Linked DNA regions of Ovis aries. The protein of the gene in region 3 interacts with the protein of the main gene of each other region in a biochemical or structural test. Links are inferred from orthologs where the notes say so. Each region holds a gene or a part of one and is shown on either strand. Other genes may lie near its edges.

The links.
Region 1: the proteins of ERBIN (region 3) and MAPK12 interact in a test that uses a peptide from one of them, tested with the Homo sapiens proteins (2 studies listed by BioGRID and IntAct). The link is inferred for Ovis aries from reciprocal best matches to the Homo sapiens genes ERBIN and MAPK12.
Region 2: the proteins of ERBIN (region 3) and ARHGEF7 interact in a test that uses a peptide from one of them, tested with the Homo sapiens proteins (2 studies listed by BioGRID and IntAct). The link is inferred for Ovis aries from reciprocal best matches to the Homo sapiens genes ERBIN and ARHGEF7.
Region 4: the proteins of ERBIN (region 3) and SCN4A interact in a test that uses a peptide from one of them, tested with the Homo sapiens proteins (2 studies listed by BioGRID and IntAct). The link is inferred for Ovis aries from reciprocal best matches to the Homo sapiens genes ERBIN and SCN4A.
Region 5: the proteins of ERBIN (region 3) and ABCA1 interact in a test that uses a peptide from one of them, tested with the Homo sapiens proteins (2 studies listed by BioGRID and IntAct). The link is inferred for Ovis aries from reciprocal best matches to the Homo sapiens genes ERBIN and ABCA1.

What each region holds. Positions count from the first base shown.
Region 1 is NC_056056.1:225,546,976-225,551,311, forward strand, and holds the start of MAPK12 (mitogen-activated protein kinase 12), read right to left. Parts: upstream 2,804-4,336; 5' UTR 2,670-2,803; coding exon 2,545-2,669; intron 2,474-2,544; coding exon 2,344-2,473; intron 333-2,343; exon of another isoform or gene 276-332; coding exon of another isoform or gene 171-275; intron 82-170; coding exon 23-81; intron 1-22. UniProt on the Homo sapiens protein: Serine/threonine kinase which acts as an essential component of the MAP kinase signal transduction pathway.
Region 2 is NC_056063.1:84,832,153-84,836,351, reverse strand, and holds the start of ARHGEF7 (rho guanine nucleotide exchange factor 7), read right to left. Parts: upstream 2,804-4,199; 5' UTR 2,753-2,803; coding exon of another isoform or gene 2,747-2,752; 5' UTR 2,298-2,746; coding exon 1,809-2,297; intron 1,051-1,808; coding exon 966-1,050; intron 1-965. UniProt on the Homo sapiens protein: Acts as a RAC1 guanine nucleotide exchange factor (GEF) and can induce membrane ruffling. Functions in cell migration, attachment and cell spreading. Promotes targeting of RAC1 to focal adhesions. May function as a positive regulator of apoptosis.
Region 3 is NC_056069.1:13,661,002-13,664,584, forward strand, and holds part of ERBIN (erbin), read right to left. Parts: intron 1,604-3,583; coding exon 1,460-1,603; intron 1-1,459. UniProt on the Homo sapiens protein: Acts as an adapter for the receptor ERBB2, in epithelia. By binding the unphosphorylated 'Tyr-1248' of receptor ERBB2, it may contribute to stabilize this unphosphorylated state.
Region 4 is NC_056064.1:47,920,358-47,924,732, reverse strand, and holds the start of SCN4A (sodium channel protein type 4 subunit alpha), read left to right. Parts: upstream 1-1,572; 5' UTR 1,573-1,634; intron 1,635-4,375. UniProt on the Homo sapiens protein: Pore-forming subunit of Nav1.4, a voltage-gated sodium (Nav) channel that directly mediates the depolarizing phase of action potentials in excitable membranes.
Region 5 is NC_056055.1:18,101,062-18,105,117, forward strand, and holds the start of ABCA1 (phospholipid-transporting ATPase ABCA1), read left to right. Parts: upstream 1-1,253; 5' UTR 1,254-1,325; exon of another isoform or gene 1,326-1,467; intron 1,468-4,056. UniProt on the Homo sapiens protein: Catalyzes the translocation of specific phospholipids from the cytoplasmic to the extracellular/lumenal leaflet of membrane coupled to the hydrolysis of ATP.

The DNA.
Region 1 (4,336 bases), on a different chromosome or scaffold from region 3:
CCAGCCCCGGGCTGGCACTCACAAGTCCGTGAAGTCATCCAGTGTCTCATCGGGCGTGAACACGTCCAGCAGCCCAATCACCTGGGGAGGAGGCCAAGCGCCGGGTGGGCGGGGGCTCAGGCACCCCTGCAGCTGCCCATGCGCCCAGCTCTGCCCACTGGCAGCTCTACCTTGCTCTGGTAAACATGCCCACAGACAAAGGCTATTTCTGGATGGAGACCGCGGGCACCCTCTGGGGGAGGGGCAGCCTCAAGTCCAGGGCAGCCCCCAGCCATCGAAGGAGCTCAGCCCTTGGCCTGTCCTCCCCGCTCTTCCTGTCCCTGCTGAAGACCCAGGACCAGCATGGGGGCAGCCAGCCCTTAGCAGGGACCATGCCTCTGCCAGACGGGTCCAGGCAGGCAGCACTAGGAGCAAACTCACAGCCCCGCAGGCCTCCCCTCGGGGGGCGACAGAGCACATGGGAAGTGTGACAGCTGGCACCCAGGCCTCCAGGGACCCCGTGAAGCCTGCACATCCAAGCGGCTGGAGGGACAGGTGGGCGTGCTGGCAGGGGGCAGGCCTGGCAGAGGCCACACGAGTGGTGGCCGAGGCAGGAGACAGAGGGCTCAGAGCACTTGAGGAACACGGGAGAGAGGCCAGGTGGCCAAGAACCAGGCCAGGGAGCCGCCAAGGAGAAGCCGAGGAAACCGAGAGGGCCCAAGACACCAAGTGAGGGCTGCCCGGATCCCAGGAGCCACCGCAGGGCGCTAGGCGGGCATGCCGCTGGGTGCGGCCCTGGCTGCGGTGCAGGGACACAGTGGACACGAGGCGGAGGGACACCTCCATGACTGCCGCAGCCTCCAGGGCCAGACCTGGGTGAAGAGGCGGGGACACTCAGAGAGGGGCCAGAGGCAGGAGAAGTGTCAGGACGTGGTTTCAGCAAGGATCCCGGAGGTTCGGGGGAGGTATGTCAGATTGATGGAAACTTCCAGGCCTCTGCCTTGCACAGGGAGGCCAGTGCTGGAGGTGAGGGGCTGGGGTAAAGGGGGGGAGGTGGGCACAGGACGGGCAGGACTGGGGCACGCCTCAGCCTCTCGGAGACCATTTCTTCCCAGGAACACGGGGTCATGAAAGGCAGAGCCTCCCAGCTAAGGGGGGCAGCAGGGGGGCAGTCAGGAGGTCTGGGGGAAGGCAGAGAGCAGCAGCAGTGGGGAGGCCGGAGAAAGGACAGGGCTGGGAGGCCACAGGGCAGGAGCCCAGGGAGAGAGTGGACAGGCCGGGGCAAGGCGGGGAGCATGGCTGGGAGGGAGGGGACCACAGGAAGGCACTGCAGAGGGGTCGGTCCTCACGTGGACAAGTCCCACGTGTGAGCAGGTGTGGCCTGCAGGTAGCAACGCTGGCGCTCGGCGGGTATCCTCCACAAAGGGGATTCCACCCGGGAATGAGAGCAGGACCCACCCGAGGCCCTGAGTGGGTGGGCCCTGGAGCTGAGGGGAGTTTCCTGGTGGACGTGCGGACCAGGAGGTGCCAGCCCGCCATGACTGGCCAGGGTCTGGGCACCCAGGTCACCCTCAGACTGGGCAGGAGAGGCTTGCGGGCGGGGAAGCGGGCAGCTTTCAGGGTCACAGGAGGAACTGCATGGACGAGAACGGAAGGGCCCTCTGCGGCCCGCACTGTGCAGGCAGAGGCTTGTGGCAGCCTCGTGGGGTCTCCTGTGGGCAGGTCTGGAAACAGAGGAGACCCCTCCCCGGTGGTGGCCGGCCCTTCCTCACACTGTGGGCGTGGGCGTCACAGGAAGGGTCTGTGTGCCTGTGGGTGCCCGGTGCCCTCCACACACAGCTCACTGAACCCCTTCACCGTCAGAGACCCAGGCGCTCTGAGGGAGCTGACAACTCTAATTCTGCCTTCCTCCACATTCCCAGCTGCCGCAGCCCCAGGGGCTCAGGAGGCAGACTTGGGTAAGGAGAGGAGCTGGAGAAGCAGGGAGGGGGCAGCCGGCCAGCGCGGGGAGGGGGACCTTCCAGGAAAACCCCTCCTACCCGCTGAGGTCCCCGGGGCTCAAGTCAAGGTTGCCAGCGAGCAGGGCTGGAGCGCCGCGGCCTGGGCCATCCGCAAGCAGGCCCTGGGCCGAAGAGCCAGAGGCGGCCGCGGGACTGGCCCAGGCGGAGCGGTCGAGAAACCAGGAAGCTGTCCTCTCGACCCCGCACGCTCAGGGACACGGCCCGACCCACGGCCCCCGCCCCGCCACCCCAAGAGCGGCCCAGGGGTCTCCCGGGCGGGGGCCTGGAGCCGGCGGGGGCCTGGAGCCGGCGGGGGCCTGGAGCCGGCGGCGGGGAGCGGAGCGGCGGCCCGGGCGGGACTCACGTTCTCGTGGCGCATGTGCTTCAGCAGGCGCAGCTCGCGGTAGGCGCGCTTGGCGAACAGCTCGGACTGGAAGGGCCGGTACAGCTTCTTGATGGCCACCTTGGCGCCCGTGCGGCTGTCCACCGCCGAGCTGCGGGGCGCACAGCTCAGCGAGGGGCCGGGACACCCCACGCCCGGCCGCCCCGCCCGGCCTGCACTCACCACACGGCGCCGTAGGCGCCGGAGCCCACGGGCTGCAGATCCTGGTACACGACGCGCACCTCCCAGGCCGTCTTGGTCACCTCCTGGCGATAAAAGCCCTTGCGGGCGGGCGACGGGGAGCTCATGGCTGGCCGGGCACCGCCCCCGCCGCGGACCCCGTGCCTCGAGGGCCGGGGGCCCGGAATCCACGGGGGGACCCGGCGCGCACCCGGGGCCGCCGCCGCCGCCGCCGCCGGGGAACCCGGCTCCTGGCTGTCCCGTCCGGAGCTCCGACCCCGGCCCCCGCCTGGGCCGCCCGCGGCCCCTCCCCTGCGGCATGACCAACCGGCCCGGGGCCCGGGCGCACGTGACGCCCCCGCCCTCCCCCCGGCCCCGCGCCGCCGCCCTGCGGCCCCTCCGGAAACCTGAGGCGGCGCCGCCCGCGAGGCCGGAGGCGGGGGAGGGGAGCGCCGCCGCTCAGGGCGGCCCCGGGCCCGGAGCCGACGCGGCGCCCGGACCGGCCTGCCTCCGCGCTCCGCCCTCGGGCTGGACTCCCCGGGCCGAGCGCGCGGTGTCTCTGCGGGAAGCCCGTGGGTCTCGTGTTTCCTCCTTCCCGCCGCGCCCCGGGGCGCTGGCCCGTCCTGGCCGCCTGAGCTTGTCAGCTTCTACCCCCATCCCCAAATCACCGTCCAGCAGTCCCGCCAACTTCCTCCCTGCACCAGAGAACTCCCACCCTGAGGCACCTGACCTGACCTGAGCACTGGAGCACCAACTGCCCACCCCAGGATGCCCCTTCACCCTGGGCTGACCCTCCCACCGCCAGCTCCGTTCCACCCATCTTGCCTCTATCCCCCTTTCCCTGTGAAGAAGCTGATTCCCTCTCCCAAACTCAGGGCACCTACCACGCTGGAGCAGAGGGTGGTCCTGCAGGCCCCCCACCTGGCTGGGGAGACTGCCCAGAGATGTGCAAGGTGCCGTGCAGGTCCCGCCCCATCCAGCCCAGGCCCCAGGTTTACTCTTTAAAACACAGCCAGAGCGGCTCACTCGCCTCAGGAAGGTACGTCCGACCCCCAAGGCGAAGGGGCACCCACTTAACTTTAGAAGGGGGCATTATCGTTTCATGCGTCAGAGCCTCCTCCATCCGCTCCCCCAGCCCAGTGACCCAGGCCTGAGACACAGCGGGGTTACAAGATGCCCGGGGGCCCCAGCCACCTTCTGTGCCCTACGCCATTGATCAGCAACCCTGCAGCTCGCTGGCCCGAGCAGCTTTATACCTGCTCCACCGCAGCGAGCCGGCGCTCAGGAGCTGCAGGCTGGTCCACGGCCGTAGCCTGGGATCCCTGGAGCCACAATCACGTTTGCCCGTGCCCCTCATGTCCTGTGGTACCCCACCTGCCTCCTCCAGGAAGCCCCCAGCTGACCCCCTGACTCCAGGCATTGAGGTACAGGGCTCCAGAAGGGTTCTGCTGCTCCTGCCCCGCCCCCAGGACTCAGCGCAGTCTAGTCTCTGGGGGTCCTCCAAGACTTGAGGCCAAGCAGCCGAGCTGACCAGGCCTCTCTGCAGGCCCAGCTCCCAGATGATCCCCACAGCCCTCCCAAGGCCCGGGGCAAAGGCACGGGATGTCCCCAGACTAGGGACACTCTGCCTGGTCCCCAGTGGGGCCTGGGCCTTCCCAGCCTGAGCTGCAGGGAGCAGCAGGGGCTGATCACTCAGTGGGCAGCCCTCCTTGACCTGGAAAGAAAGGAAAGTTTCTCCCTGGCCCTGGGGAAGGCAGGCCTTTTGTTCCCCTACCCTGCATGCTCCCTGACCAGA
Region 2 (4,199 bases), on a different chromosome or scaffold from region 3:
CCGTGTCGGCCCCGGCCCGTGTCTGCACGGGGCGTGTGGAGCCCCGCACTCCCGCCGCGATGACCGAGCATCGCCACCTGGTGGACGGAGCAGAAGCAGCCTCCGACCCCGGAAACAGACGCCTCCAGCCTCGCGTGGGGTCTGTATCTACCGAAGCTGCTCCTGCCTGTGGCCCGAGCGCACGTCCAGCCCCAGGACAGCGCATCAGCCGTGGTCCTGGCAGCCAGGGGTGGCTGGGCTGGGCCGGGGCATGGAGTCACGGGGGAAGCACGGTTCTCAGAGCCAGCCTGGCCGCTCACAGCCGGCCACCCTCTTGCTGAGTGCTCACATCAAGCCCATCCCTTCACGGGGCGGGGCGGGGCGGGGGGGGGGGGGGTTTGCCGGCAGGAGCAGCGTGCTGCCTGACGGACAACCTTCATGAGATGCCACAGATCTCCTCCTGCAAGGCCTGCTCCGGGTGGAGTGCTGACGTCCGTCTGAGCCCACCTCTGCTCCAGAATCCAGACCTCCACCCTTGTCTACACTCACTCACCCGGGTCCTAATTCAGCTTGACCTGAGGTGCTGCCATTGCAACCGCCAAGAGTCTCCACTGCAAGCCAAGGTCAAGCACAGAAGCCCAGCCTAGAGCTGTGGGCGCCTGAGGGCCCTGGGAGTGGTCCCTCGGGCCCACTCCTCCCCACACAGTGAGGGCAGAGCGCCCCCATCCGAGGGGCCAGGACAGCCCATGAGTGCACCCGTGGACGAGGCCACTCTGCTGCTCGCTCAGGCAGAGGAGGGGAAGCACCAAGACACACGGGGACCCGAAAAGGAAGAGCTGCTCTGACAAGGAAAAAGAATAGCATCGCAGCAAAGCCACAGCCAAGAGCTTAGCGCGGTCCTTTTCTAAGCTCCTGCCTGCTGACAGGAGGGCGCGGTCTCTGCCCGTGGCTTCCCCTCCCCTCAGGTTCAGCAGAAAGACACTTACCTGCTGTTACTTTATTCAGCGTCACTAAGGAGCTGAGGACCTTGTTGAAATTCTGCCCCTGATACAAATCGTTTGCATCAAACGTCTGCAAGGGAAAGAGAATAAGCAGAATTAGCCGAGCCCGGCACTGGCGGGGCGTGGCAGTCTGTGCAGCGGGAGGAAGACAGTGGGCTTTGCAGGTGAGACCCGGGCAAGGGCACCCGAGGAGCTCAGCTTCCAGGAGGCCGGGCCACTCTGCTCCTGGGGCTGAGTCCAGTTCTGAACCACCCTGCCCCACCCTCCCAGCGACCTGGGGCACTCCTGGCACTCAGAGAGGGCTCTTCTCCTTAGACTGAGGCCAAGGCTGCTGGGCATGCCTACGACAGACTTCCTCTCCCGGTCACAGCCCAGGCCAAAGTCAGGAGCAGCCAAAGGGAAGCCCAGATGCTGGAGTGGACACAAGGGTCGAGGGAGAGGAAGCGGGGAGCCAGACTCCAGAAAGAGGGGCGCCTCCACCCCAGAGACCAGGGACACAACCGCACTGGCCCAGCCCCGCCCGCCCAGGAGCTGGAAGAGAATGCACGTCGGGCTGCCCAGACAGAGCGCCACGGTCTCGGACGTGTGCACAGACACCACGGGCTGAGACACACACACCTCACTCCCAAACGCTGTCTGAAGATCACACACAGCTTTGGATCACTAAATAACAACAACTCCCCACCAAAAAATTTAACCATCAGATGATCCACAACTTGTGCCAGAGAAAGTAGGGAAAGAAAATTCTTTCAGAGATGCAGGTAACAGAAAGATGTGTTCATATGTCAAAATGAAAACTAGGATAACATACTTCAAAGATTCTCTCACCGGGGCAAAAGTGACCTCCGGCGGCCAGCCATCCCAGGAACGGCGTCCTCTGCAGGTCGCCCCAGCTGGTTCACGGTTCCTGCGTCTCACATCCTGCCAGGAAGCCCGGCTCCTCTTCCTGCCTCCCACCCCCTGCGCAGCCCCGGAGGATTCAGCACACTGCACAGTCCCCGCACAGGCCGCTGCAGAAACTGAAACCCGCCCCGCAGCCCTCACCCCCCACATCCAGAGAACAGCCCGCACACAGTAAGAAGGCAGCAACCCGCCCGGCTCCCACCATCCCACCTCCCCGCCACGGCTCGGAAGGTCTCTGTGAGGACAGACCCAGGACACAGGGCTGCTCCAAATCTCGACAGTCACTGCCGTCTCTGGCCCACTCTCCTGCTTTACCTTCTGAGATGAGTAAACATCCTCGTGAGGTGAGCTTAGACGTGAACCAAAGAAAGAAAATCCAAGAGCTGAACAAACCAGCTCCAGAAAGGAGGCCATTAAACCCAAGTTGAGAGAGGAACGCAAACAGAGCTGGGAGAGGGGAAGAGTCGTGAACTCAGACAGCCAAGCACTCTGCGACACTGCTCACACCTTTCTCGCAGATGGAGCAGGAGATAAAACGTTCGTGATGCCAGATCCTGCCCGCCTATGAAAACGAGTACCCCTTAGGACAGTCTCTGGAATCCCCGTGATTCCAAGATTCAAGTCAGAGGAGACCGTGATTCAGGCAGGCGTGTGCAGCTACATCTGCAATGGGCTGGCTGAGTTCTTTATTAAAAGGAGGGCCCTGAACAGGCCTCCACTCCCTTCTGTCAGAACACAAAAGCTCCTTCTCCTGGAAAAGGTGGGAGGAGGCAGTCTCAGCTCTCAGGTCCTAATTCCAGAGCTTGGAAAATTCAAATTGTAGTATTCTGCAAGAAAAAATATACATAAAAGTATCTACTAACCTTCATCGTGGTAAGGCAGAGAGTCACAAAACCCAGAAAAACAGGATGTTGAAAGCTGAAGTTTCCTGTTATTCCAGAACTATATATCTTACTTGGACACCAGGAAGCGTCTGGTTGGCTGAAGCAGCCCACCAATGGGCTCCAAAGTGATGTCAGAACTTAAGTGAATTCACACACACACCACACTTCTCAACAGGAAGCTACACAATGAGACCAGACAAGCGCCTGCCACCGAGAGGGGAAGACGCACATTCTGAGTCAAAGATGTTTTGACTAAAGGGCTTCTCTAGAGAAAGATAACCAATTACTTCCTGAAACAGGAATGTATTCAACAGAAGAAAAAAATCTTAGGGTTCAGAGAAAGTGGGAATAACAGTGCACAGTTACCCCGGGGCACTCACGCTTCGGAGACAAGCCTGCCCGCCCGTGGACCCTCTGCCAGTGGTCACCTCAGTCCATCAGGGCACCGAGGCTCCCAGACAGAAGTCCACCCGCCCAGCCCCACCTGTGCAGCAGAGAAGGCAGGTTCTCGAGCACCCAGCGCCCGGAGCCGCCGAGCGCACGGGAGGGCTAAGGCGGACCGTCACGCGCCTGAGCCGAACTCGACCTCCCAGCCGTCACGCTCGCTCCCTACACCACCCTCTGACACGCTCTTTCCTTACACTTAGCATCACACGTGGTATCAGGCTTGGTCCCTGAACTAACACCGGACACAGGAGGGCTCACCCATCCCTGAGGAGGAGATGAGGCGCCACACGCCAGCCGCCACCAGCACCCACGGCGGGGCGATTCGGTCAGGGTGGCCCGCCCGCCAGAGCAGGAGCTCTGAGGCCCCCGGCCAGAGGATGACCACGCCGCCCTCCGGCTCCCGTCTGACTGCAGTCTCCCAGCCTCCGCTCGGCCCCTCCCCAGGCGCAGGGTGGGCGCCCCGACCCGCTGTCCTGCCGCTGGCCAACAAGAGCCAGCCCAAGCAGCCACTCTGAACAGGACACTGCCCTCACGTCCCAGCAGAAGCTTCAGGAACCTTCCAGCATAAGCAGGGCACGGCGCTCGGGAACTTCTCCCCCGGCCTGAACCCCAGGATAAAGAGGCCACTCAGCACACCCACGCCGTCTCCACAGCCAGCACAACGGGCAGGACACGCCTGCCGAGTGGTCAGCCACGGAGTCGTGCAGGCTGCTGGTGGGCAAGCCTCCTCTGGGTAAGAGCAGGACATAAACCCACGTCTCCCCCAGTAGAGCTGGCTCCTGAAGAGAGAGTACAGCTGCTCCACAGACCTGCTCAGGGAATCTCCCAGAAAGACCCCAGGTCCCCGGCTCGCCCTCAGAGGGCTCGGGCTCTCTCAGGAGACGTCCCCTCTCCCCCTCGCGTCGGCACCTCTGCAGGGGCCACTCGAGCTGTGAAGGAGGGTGGGGTCCAGAGATGAAGGGAGACAGGGCCCTGCCCAGGGCCC
Region 3 (3,583 bases):
TTTGCCTTTTCTATTTTTGAGATGTGTTTTCAGAAATGTGTAATCATCAACTTAACTCACAGCTTGAAGTTTAAACTCAAGTGTGAATGTACAACTCTATCTTTAAATGAACAAGTACATTACAGATGAAAAAGCTAAAGTGCAAGACTCAAAGACTCTGAATTTAATAATAACAAGCAAAAGATATTACTGATCAAGAATTTGTAAAAAACAATTGCTCTAGATGACTATAAAGATTATCCCTGAGTTAATAACCCCGTGGCTTCAGCTAGAAAGAGCACCAGAAAAGCAGGGCTTACTAGCCATCATCTCCTCTCTCCCTGTTTCAGACTGCTAAGTTACAAAACGATTGCTGCCACTAACGTGTAACACAGAAACCCAGTGGCAGCAGGTGACAGAGGACAGCAAGATGAGTGAGGTCCAGGCAGAGCAAAGTGAACCCCGGATACTGCTTCTATCCGAGAGAACAACAGACTAAAGCCAGGAGTGTATGAAACAGCAGTAGGGGACTGGGGGTGGTAAGAAAGGGGACGCTCAAGTCAAAAGCAAAGGACCCAGAAGCAGGGTCAGTATGGAAATAAAACTATGTGGGAGAGAATAAGCTCTACAAAGGGAGAAAGGTCTTTTCAGGATGGAAGGGCAGAGGAAATATTTACTTAGAGGTCATGCTACCACCTCAAGTTGTTATGGAAAGACAAATTTTATAACAGCCAGAGTTATTCTGTTCTTTCTCCTTTTCTGTCCTTCTTATCTCCTACCCTTAACTTTCATTAAGAATAAACCTTCCTTCTTCCCACAAATGATTAGGTGGGTGTTAATGGATTTGGGTTTTGCCTTTTCACTGGTACTTATTGCAATCTCTCCTGCCTCACATTTAATCATATTCTGCAAATTACGATTAAACTTAGTTCCAGGTATTTATTTGCCAACTCTCAGTCACTAAAGTGAAAATTATTTTTTTAATTTAAATTTATTTATTTTAATTGGAGGCTAATTCCTACAACCCCTCTATGTATTATGCATGGCACAGCATTAAAACTCTGAGTTAGGGAAAGCAAGCTAATTTTGAGAGAGCACTGCAGAGAAAAAGAATTTTTAAAAAACCTCTTCAACTCCTATTGCTCATCCCTTTTTACATAAATAAGAGCTGACTACACCTTTAGTTATGACCACTGAAACTTAAAGAGGTAAAGCCTAAATCAGCTTTGCAGAGCTTTACAACTAAGCCATGGAAGAACTGGGAGGTAATCAAGGTATTTAACCCACAGTACAGATTTATTTTCTAGAACTGTTAACACATTATTGACCCAGGGATTCTTGCAGAAACTAATGCCTGTGGCAGGTGATTTGTTATGCAAGTGGATATTCAAACACTCTGGTCAATAACACTTGGGTAACGTGAAATGTGGGCTTCTTTCTCATTTATGTACTGAAGTACTGATCTACTGCAGGTACTCACTCGAAAAGTGTGCCCACCAGAACCTCTTCCGTCTGCAACACTCAAGGCGAGACTGCCCTGGCTGCCATGCAGATCCCTAGAGCTGCCATAGTGAAAGTTGCTTACAGCAGTAAAATTGGAATTAAAGGACCTTGACAGCATGCTCTGAATAAAGAGGGGATAGATTTAACAGAGATTAGTGTAGCATGCAAAATTCACAAGACACGTTATACACATAGACATATATACAAGTAACCCCCAGATCACGCAGGAATACCATGCAACACTGAATTTTCAGAGACACTGAAAGAAATTGGCACCATTTACCATATATTTACATGAAAACATATATGTATACATACATAAATTATATGTAAACCCAACCATTTACATGTTTAAACACCAAAACAGAAAGTGCAAACATACAGCTGGCTCTTAGGCTATTATTTTTTACTTCTAACCTATCTTATTAGAAGTTCATCAGAAAATAGGAATTGATGTCACATCCAGATGTATTTGTATGTATATGGTTACACAGAATACAAACTAATTTCTTTGTAAAGACAAACTTTACCAACACTCAGTTATTTCTAACTCAAAATGGTTTTATAGAGAGAATGTTTCATTCTATAGAAATTGTCTTATTAAGTAAATGGAGAGTTTAAATATATATAATATAGCACAAAATGTATTTGCAAAAAAATACTTGGCTCTTGTAATTTCTAATAAAAATTACCTTTCACACTTAAAAAATGTCTTAAAGAAAAGTTTAACACACACACAGACTTTTAGGGTATAATATTTAAAAGGCTCCTAATGCTCTGCAATTATCAGGAAAAAAAATTCCAATAAATCTAGAAAATGAACATGCAAAACTCTTTTCCCATTCAAATAGATATTAAAGGTGACTGTATTTTTTGAAGTCAGTAGTGGCTCTGCTGTTTAACCTTGAAGAAGCCTTCAAGTTTCACTGATAGATGCCTTCCATGACTGAGTTTACATAAATGCCTAATCGCCAATCCCAGAGTTGCCTGAACAATGTACTTCAATAAAAGCACTGCCTGATTCTTCCTGTTCTTGCTTGGTTATTCCCGGAGTTCACTATTAATAGTCCTTTCACATGTGGATGCTTTTAGTCATGTCCCTAAACACTGAAGGTCTGATGGTCAAACCAAGAGAAACCTCATTTTGAACATGGCTTCTTAGTAAGAAATACACAAACGCTTGTTATGGCCATAATAAGCATTTCTGTATTACTCTTAGGAAGAATTTACTTTCTCCAGATTATGAAGTTGATCTCTTATACAAAGAAACAATATGACATTTCAGAATGAAAAGAATCTATAAAACTACAATGAACAAATTTAGGTATTTTGTGAATTCTAAAGTAGAGACCAAGGAAAAAGCTGAATAGACCAGGCTCGTACTTTCTCAAAGCATTTCACAAAGAATAAGGATTTGGCAGAGGCAATTCATAGGTTCCCCAAACGTCTGATTAAAAAGTAAAAATAAATTATACACATAATCACACAGAAACATGTAAAAAACACACGTCCATGCATTGTAACACAGTTTTACATGTTAACTTGAGTGGTCTGATTGACTCTTTTTAATAATATATTAATCTTGGAACAAAGTCTTTGCTGTCATCTTTGAACATATATGAGGTTTTTATAAATATTTCACTGAGAAAGAAGGCTACAAGTTAGGAATAGGTCTGACTTTGAATTTAGGCCTGTACAGAGACATCCACATAAAACTGCACCCTATCCAAACACATCAACACACTGTGCAAAGTTCAATTAAGTGCTGAACACATGTCCTGGACATTGTTTACTACATGCTAATAGTTGTATAACAGCAAGTAAAAATGGAAATCATCATGTTGTACTAATCACATGGAGTGCTTATCAGTTTTTAATATAATAAGGAATACTGGCAAATGTTGACATTAGGAATAATTTTACACAGTTTTATTCCTTTGCAATATCTGTTGATATGTTTAATTCAGTCAGTCTTGAGATTTCTGAGGTAAGATCTATTTTCTATGTTTGTGTTCCAGGTACAGTTTTTGGTGAAGTTGGGAAGAAGGGGTTACTACTTAAAAAAGCCAAGTAAGCTTCAATGACTAATTGCTTACTGTTT
Region 4 (4,375 bases), on a different chromosome or scaffold from region 3:
TGCAGCAAAAACACCAAGGCTTCCACCTTGGTCTAAAGACACGCCTCTGAGGGTGTGAATGACTCACTGGGAGATGTTCGAAGTCTGGGCAGAGCAGGAACTTCTCAGACCACAGCCAGGCCTGGCCCCCAGGGAGGGGCTGGACTGTGCTGAAGCTGGAACCGCAGAGAGCCTCTGGGAGGAGAGGCACCATGGGGCCAGCTCCCCGGGCTTCCCTCTGCCTCTTGCAAAGGTCACTCTGGCCTGGGCTCAGCTTAGACAGAGGTCTGGCTGCCAGAAAAGCCAGTGGCAGTTAGGGGTATGGGAGACTGGGGGACGTTTTGGGGGACGGTTTCTGTGGATTCACTCAAGAGATTCTCTTGTTTGCCCCGGGGCAGGAGCTAATGAGCAAGAGGTGGGTCCTTTCTAGACACCTCCACTAGAGGTCACCACAGCCCCAGAGTGGAAGTGGGGGAGGGGGCTAAACTAAGGAACATCCCTCCCCCCCCCAACTTCGAGGGACAGATGTCTAGTCAGTGGGGTGGGGCAGTGTTGGTAGAGAAATGACCCTCAGGGCTGCTGTGTGGTCCAGCTAAGCAGCTGTGTTGGGGGGAGGAGCTCATGGGTGTGAGATGTGGGTGTGGGCATATAGACAGACACACACTTGATAAAATCCTAGTCACCAGAGACGTGCCTGGTGGTCCAGGGGCAAGAAACTCCGCACACTGGGGAAAGCACGGGGCCCAGGTTCGATCCCTGGTCAGGAAACTAGACCCCACACACCACAGCTGAGATCCCGTGCAATCAAATAAATAAATAAAATCAATATTTAAAAGAAATATAACGACCATAGGTACATATAGGTGGCCCTGTGTACATGTGAATGGAAGCATGTTACGTGGGCACAGACAAACACCCGGGTATAAATAACAGGCCTGAAATGCCCAGTTGCATGGGCATGACAGTGGTGTGTGCACACACTCGATACAACTGTAGTGTCTGGGATATGCAACATCTGTGCTCATCTGGGCAGAAGAGTGCACGTGGCTGCATGCGTGTAATAATACACATCTGTGCACAAACCTGCTGTGAGCGTGGGAGTGTGCCTATGTGAGTAGCAGGTATGCATTTGAATAAGTGTGACACGCAGTGGAAGCATTTGTGTGACTGTGTGAAGGGTATACTTTACGTGCCCAGCTGAGCATGTATGAGTGTGACAGTGGGCAGGGGGGAACGCAGCCGTGAGTGTGTAGAGTGTGCCAGCCAGTGTGTGTCCTGGGAGTGCTTCTGGGAACGAGTGTGAAAGGAGAGTCCTGTACAAGAATGAGCCTGTGGGCTCAGGCTCATGGCCACACAGTGGGCGTGTGTGCGTGGGTGTGTGTGAGAGAGTGGACGGACGTGTTGAGTGTGTCACGCTCTGGGTCAGCGGTCCCCCAGCCCAGGCAGTCCCAAGCCGAGCCCCGGGCACCCATGAGGCAAGCGCGGCCCAGGCTCCCACCTGAAGATTGGCCGGGTCCTCAGGTTTCACTCATGACCCTGTGACATCAGCGGCAGCAGCTGTCCCCGCCGGCCGGCCCCCCGGCCAAGTCCCCCAGAGTCTCAGCCCCAGCCCGAGGTGGGCACGCCGCTCCGAGCTTGTCTGCTCCCGTCCAACAGTGAGTACCGCGTCCCCGCCCTGAGCCCCGCCGGGCCAGGCACCCCAAAGGCAGGCCACCCCCAGGGGCCCAGTGCCCTGGCCCCCAGCCCAGCCTGGCTCTGAGGAAGTCACCGCTTTGCTCCAGGCACCACTGTCCTCCTGCCCACGCCGGGCCCCGCTCCGCGGACACCCTGCCCGAGCTCCTTGTGCCACGACCCCGGCCGGATCCCTGTGCTTGCCTCTCCCTGCCCAGTCGGCCTGTGCCCCTGTCTGGCTGGCCAGCCCTGCCCTCAGCCAGGGTCGTCGTCCTGATCACAGACGGCCCAGGGGCTAAGGCTCGGCTCCAGACGGGGTGACCCAAGGGACAGAGATGGGACTGAGTTTCTCAGGGGAGGAGGGTGGAGGGCCCAGAGCAGTGACTCGGCTCGGCCTGACCGCAGTGGCCCAGAAGGCAGGGCTGGCGGCGGGGAGGAGAGCGGGAGGCCGGCTGGGGGGTGGCGGCGGCTCCTTTGCTCTGCTGGAGCAGGAATCTGCGAGATGCCAGCAGAGGACACATCTCGGGCTGAGAGGCCGGCTGGGCTCTGCCCACTGCCCCTGCCTCTCCCTGCCGCGGGGCACACTTGGGCTCCTCTCCTGGAGAAACCAAGGGGGAGGTGGGCAGAGGAGCAGCTCCTCTTAGTGAAGGGGGTGTGGGGACAGGGAGCCAGAGAGTCCAGGGTGAGGGGCATCCCACATGGGGCCGCCGCACTGAAGGGTCTCTGCGGGACTCAGAAGGAGACTGGGGCTGGGGTCAGTGGGCTGGAGTGAAGGGGCAGGGGTGCGTCACCAGGGCAGAGCACAGACACCCCTCCCCCCTTCGCTGACAGAGCTGGGCACCCAGGACCCTAGGAGGGAGCGTGGGCAGGGGCTGGCCAAGAAGGCCTGATGGTCTGAGCAGAGATGAGAGAAGGTGTTTTTGGAAGCTCATGGAGCTGAAGGGAGGTGTGTTTTGTGTGTGTTGGAGGAGTTTGTTCAAAAGGTCGAAGATGCCACATCTAGAAGGCCTGGGGAGGGGGGTGGGACGGGAGGCTTCCAAGAATGTACTGGTAGGGGCAGGGGGCCCTGAGCCCCTTCCCACTCCGCCCCGTCAAGTACTGTGTCCCACTGCCCCTCACCCTGCTCAGGGCATGGGGTCAGGGCAGGGGGCCAGGTCCTGATGAGAGCTTGTGACACCCCGCTGTGGGGAGATGGCTTTCCAGGTGGAGACTAGACAGGTCCGCCTCCGACTTATACTGTCTGCTGCAGGCGTCTGCCCCAGAGCCCAGGAAGGCTAGAGCCCAGGGGAGCCTTGACATGATGTAATTGTCGCTCTCTCTTGTCCGCCTCTTTGCGACCACATGGACTGTAGCCCACCAGGTTCCTCTGTCCATGGGATTCTCCAGGCAAGAATACTAGAGTAGGTTGTGATGCTTTCCTCCAGGGGATCCCCCAACCCAGGGATCAAACCTGCGTCTCCTGTATCTCCTGCACTGCAGGCAGGTACCTTACCGCTGAGCCACCTGGGAAGGCTTGAAGGCCATTTAATTCGGCCCCTAAAGATGCGCCAGGTCGGGGAGGGCAGCGAGAGACCAGTTTCCGTGTCTGTCTAGTCTGGTGAGGGGAGGAGGCTGACAGAAGTTAGGGCAGAACAAGAGGTGAGCGTTGTTGTCACTTGTCTAGGGCGGCAGTGACTGAACCCAGGTGTGCAGAGCTGGGGTTGGGGGCAGGTGTCAGAGGGCTGCTTCTCCCAGAACCCTCCAGCTTTTTCCAGGGTCATAGCTAGTCCCCTGCTCGTGGCCAGTGGTGTGGATGATTATACACACTGCACCAGGATTTGGAGCCACGTTCCCTGTGTGGGGTGATGCAGGGGCCCAGACATAGCCCAAGGCCCACTCCATCTTCATGCCTGGCAGCTCTCAGGGGATGGGAGGGGTTTGGGGAAGGTACTTAAGGGTCCTTCCTAGGTGGTCCCATCCCTGCCTGGCTTCCTTGTCATTCTTGCATCGGGACCTGCTTAGGGTGGAGGCTCAGGACTCAGGGTCGCCTCCAGCTCTAGACTGGCCTGAGTGTCAAAGTCTGCCCAGCCGGCTTCCCTGCCCTGACCCACCCAGGCCCAAGGGTAGGGGAGCCCTGAAGCTCATGCTGAAGGCATTGAACTCCTGGCCAGATGCTGGAGGTGGTCCTGACAAAGTCCCTGCCTTTGGGGGCAACTCTGTCCACCAGAACAGAGAAAAGCATGGGTGATGGCAGGAAAGGGTGGGTTTAGAGAAGGCTCCCAGGGGAGGCAAGGCAGAGAGGAGAGAAGGGATTGGACCCTCCAGACCAGTGGGAAGTCTCACTCTCTCCAGGTGATAGGAGAGATGCCTAGAGGGAAAGATCTGAGCCCAGGGGCCTTGGCGAGCAGGTAGAGAGAAGGCGGGGGCAGGAGGAGGGAGCGTCAGCAGCCCCAGTCCACATGACACAGACCTCTGTCCCTCGAGTCCTCTTAGAGGGAAGGCTCAGGTTCAGAGGGCCCTGTCACTTACCTGGGGCACAAGGCTTGTGAGGGGCCACGGCCCCTACTCCCTGGGGCAGAGCTCGCCCCCGAGACCCTGGGGGCAGTGGGTCCCCGGTTGCATCCCTAGGGGTCCCCAACTCTGCAGTGGCAGGAACAGGCCCAGACTCCCCACGGCTCCACTGGAAGGTGCTCGTGGGGCTGGGGAATCCCAGGGTCTCTCCGCCTCCGCCACCCCAGCCCCAGGC
Region 5 (4,056 bases), on a different chromosome or scaffold from region 3:
TTGACAGAACCACTGACATGTGGGCCTGTATTCAAATCATGGTCTGGAGGGGCTTGTGCAGCTGGGGCTCCAGACACACACCTGCAGGTTCTTCTGGAATATGACAGAGCTGAGGATGGGAAGCAAAGTTGTCCAGGAGCCTGCTCTCCTGCTCTACCACTTTCTTGTCAAAACTCAAGTCAAAGCAAGTCTGGTCGTGAATCCACCCTTCCCAGTTGCTCCAAAGGTATCTCTGTCAAGTAGGAGGAACTTATTTTACAGTTTGTTAGCTTTATTTATGAGTTAAATATTGAGAGTTAAAGTATGTGGGCTCCCTTTGTACACTTGCTTCTGTTCCTCAGATGTTTCGGGCCCTCTTGCTCTTGACTGTCAAGGCCAAAGCCAGAGGAAGAAGCTGGAGAATTGGATGGTTATGTGATTTTCCAAGACTGCGATTCTCTAGTGGTACTTTGCAAATCTGTAGAAACCAAAATACAAGCCCACGTGTATTTATCTATTACTGCTGACTGACATGGTGAAAATAAAAAGGAAATTAGTCCACAATGCTGGGTTTTCTGTGGCCTCCTTCTCCCAGTTTGCTAAGGGAAGGAGCAAGACAGTTTTCAGGGGTCCTCCTGGGACTTGGGAGGCCCCAAATTGGGAACCCCAAAGGCTCTTGAATTCCAAAGTCAGGGTTTGCGGTGGAAAACAAAACCAGCCAGTTGAACAGAGGACTGTCCATCTTCTCCCCACTCTGGGCATTTAAAGGAAAAAAAAGACTAAAGGGTTGGCATCCTTAGGGGTTTTAGCCTAGCTTTCTCTTCCCCTTTCCTCTCCTCTCTCCGCCCCCAAGTCCCTCCAGCTGAGTAAATTAACAAAGGAAACAAAAGTTGCTGAAAGAACTAGTTTAGAGAAAGCGATTTTCACTCGTGCTGTTGGCTGCCCTGAACCTGGACTAGAGTCTCTGGAGGGCACAGTCCCAAGACCGCCGTTTGCCCCTGTTCCTGCGCTGGCGGGCCGGGCTGGGCCGAGCGGCGCGGACCTACGGCGGGGGTAGGCCGGCTGCACTCCGCCCCCAGCCCCGCGCGCCGCCGGACGTCGCCCGTTTAAGGGGCGGGACGCGGCTCCACGTGCTTTCTGCTGAGTGACTGAACTACATAAACAGAGGCCGGGAAGGGGGCGGGGAAGGAGGGAGAGAACAGGCTTTGACCGATAGTAACCCCAGCGCTCAGCGCCGCCGAATCTATAAAAGGAACTAGTCGCGGCAAAACCCCGGTAATTCCGAGGCAGAGTGAGTGCTGCCGGGGCCGGCAGGGACGCGCCGACACCTCTCTACCCCGGCGCAGGTGGGCAGAACAGGGGGCGCCGTGCAACCAGCGCCGCCACAGCCAATTTCTCGGGGCGCTTTGCTCCCTTTACCCCCCTTCTTTTCCGAAGGGTTTTTCAAGGGGTTGGGGAAAGAACCACAAACACAAAAGTGGAAAACAGGTAAGAGTCTCTTCAGCGACTTGGACGTTATTGTTTCGTTTCGGGCCGAGGGGACTTTGGGAAGCTCTGGGTGTCGGGGACTTTAGTCCGAACCCCCACATCCCCACCTCCTGCAGCACAAACGGGCTCGTAAATGTGGAGAGGACGTCCTAGGAGGAGCTCTGGCGACCCAAAGACGCGACATCGCTGCGCTCAGGGTTCGCCCGCGGTGGAGCTCGGGGAGCATCTCTGGGCGCGCGGAGACCCGAGCGCAGTAGCTGGGGCGCAGTGGAATCGGGGGGCTCCTGGTGGTGCTGGAGGCGCTGCTGCCGGAGTAGGGAGAATGGGAGGTCTGGCACTGAGCTATTCCCTTTGTTTGGAAGCGCCTGAGCCGGTTGGAACCCTCTCTGGCTGCGGCTCGGCCGGCGCCCACCGGGAAAAATGCCAGCCGTCAGAATCCCCTCTGTTCGTAAGGCGCTAGTCCGGGTTGGGCTCTGATCTGGGGATAGGTCCCCCGCGCCCCTGGACTGGAGCAGCGCTTTCTGGCTCACCAAGAATGCGACTGGGAGGTGTCCCAAACAGAGTCCTTAGCGCTAGTGCTCTTTTGAGGCCTCGGGGGCTTTGTTTGATCAGGGGGTTCCTGTTCCATAGTCTCCATACGCTTCCAGGAGGTGCTGCCTCTGACGCTGTGGGAGGCTGGGGATGGGGGTAGGGGAGACGGGCGGGGCGGAGGGACGAGAGTTTTGTTTCTTTAACAAACGTTAGAAGGGTCCCTGCGGAAACCTGGAGCTGAGGTGACCATTCCCCTGCCCCCCCTTCCCCCCATCTTCCTGCCCTTTGCTGAGTGTCTCTTGGAGCAGCTTCAGGGAGGGCATGGATGGGGAAGCTAGGGCGAGACGGTGCAGCAGAATGACCGAGAGTAACCCCGGCAGGCGGTGCAGAGCTCGCAGCTCCGCGGGCGGGCTGTGCTTCGTGGTGGGGGGAGGGAGGGCTGAGCGCCGGCTGCCGGTGGCCACGGGGGGAACTGATCCACAGCGCCTCCTGGCCGGGTGGCCTGGGAATCGGCTCCTTGGCCCGAGTGAGGCCAGGCTGCAAGAGGCTTTGTCGCCTGCTATGGTTCCGACCGAGATCCAAGGAAGACGGGTGATTGTAGACTGGGAGGAAACCTGGGGATCAGGCGAAAGTGCTTCTGCTTGTGTTTTAGATTGCTTCCCAACTCCCAGAGAGTTGCTAAATGGAAGGTTCTTGGGGTGTGCGTGGGCCAGTATTGTGTGTAGGTGCTTGTTTTTCAGCACTCATCGAAAAGAAGGGAATAAACAAGATAAAAGAAAACAGGGAGAGAAGGAAAAAGGGAGAGAAAGAAATGTAGCCCTGGAAATAATTGGCCTTTGTCTTTTGCAAAAGCGATACCATCAGCTTTTAAAACCAGAACTTTTCAGTGAAACAAGGAAGTGAGTGCGTGGTATATACATTCATATAATAGACGATAAATTTGATATTTAAAAAATTCCTTGGTGATAAAAATCAGCAAGTCACTTCCTAAGGACCGATTCCCACCTCCCATCAAAGAACACCTCATAAAAATTTGCAAGTTCAAAAGCAGAGTTTTAATGGCCCTTTAAACAATAGTGTGGGACCCAAACCTAAGTTTCGATCTTTTCAGACAAAATTTAAAACACACCTAAAGAAGTACTTAGTTTTTTATCTCCCCTTTTATTTCAGCCCATTTTCCTCATACTTACTACGAAATTAATGGAGGCTTTCTGTTGTTCTTGTCATTCTCTTTGAGACACTTATCCTAAATCAAGGAAAGTGTGAGAGCAAAGGGAGAAGGTTCTGGAGTAGAACCTCTTCTGATGGTAAATAATTTTCAAGTACAAAGTCTTCCTTGTCAGCCTATTCCCCAAGTACTCCTTGTTTGTGTGTTTTTTTTTTTTAACTTTTAATTTTACATTAAAGTATAACTGATTAACAATATTTGATAGTTTCAGGTGACAACAAAGGAACTTAGTCACACATACATGTATCCATTCCCAAATGCTCCTTTTATAGGAGCTTTAATGCTTTATGCTTTAAGTTAATTCATGATAGAGTTTTGGGAAAACATTAGATACACAGAGCAAGAAGCGGTAGAATTGGAGTGACAGCCTTGGATGACCACAGTTCAAGGGGTAAGAATTGCTACTGCAGTCAGAGTGATTCTTGAGCCCCCTTGCAGGGACCAGCCTGTTGTTCCAGAATGATGTATCTGATTGTGAAATGGACGCTTGTGATATGTGTCTCCCCTTCAGATGAGCGTTTAAAATCTCAGCTCTCAATTTACATCTACATAGAGGCCTATAATGAACCCTGGATACCTCTTGACTTAGGGCATATTTACAGTTCATGTGAGACTAGCTTAGATTGGAAAAGGGTGATTAGGGTTTGATTGTTTCCAACCTCTGCTCTTAATGATTACATTATTAAAAATGAATGAAACCAAATAAAACTCACTGACACAGTTTTTTATCTTCTGTAGTATTTATCTTGTATGCAGAGAAGTTGTAATATTTTTCGTTTAAATTTTTTTTAGGGGATCTTCCTTCCCATAAGCTAAGTTGCTTATGCTAT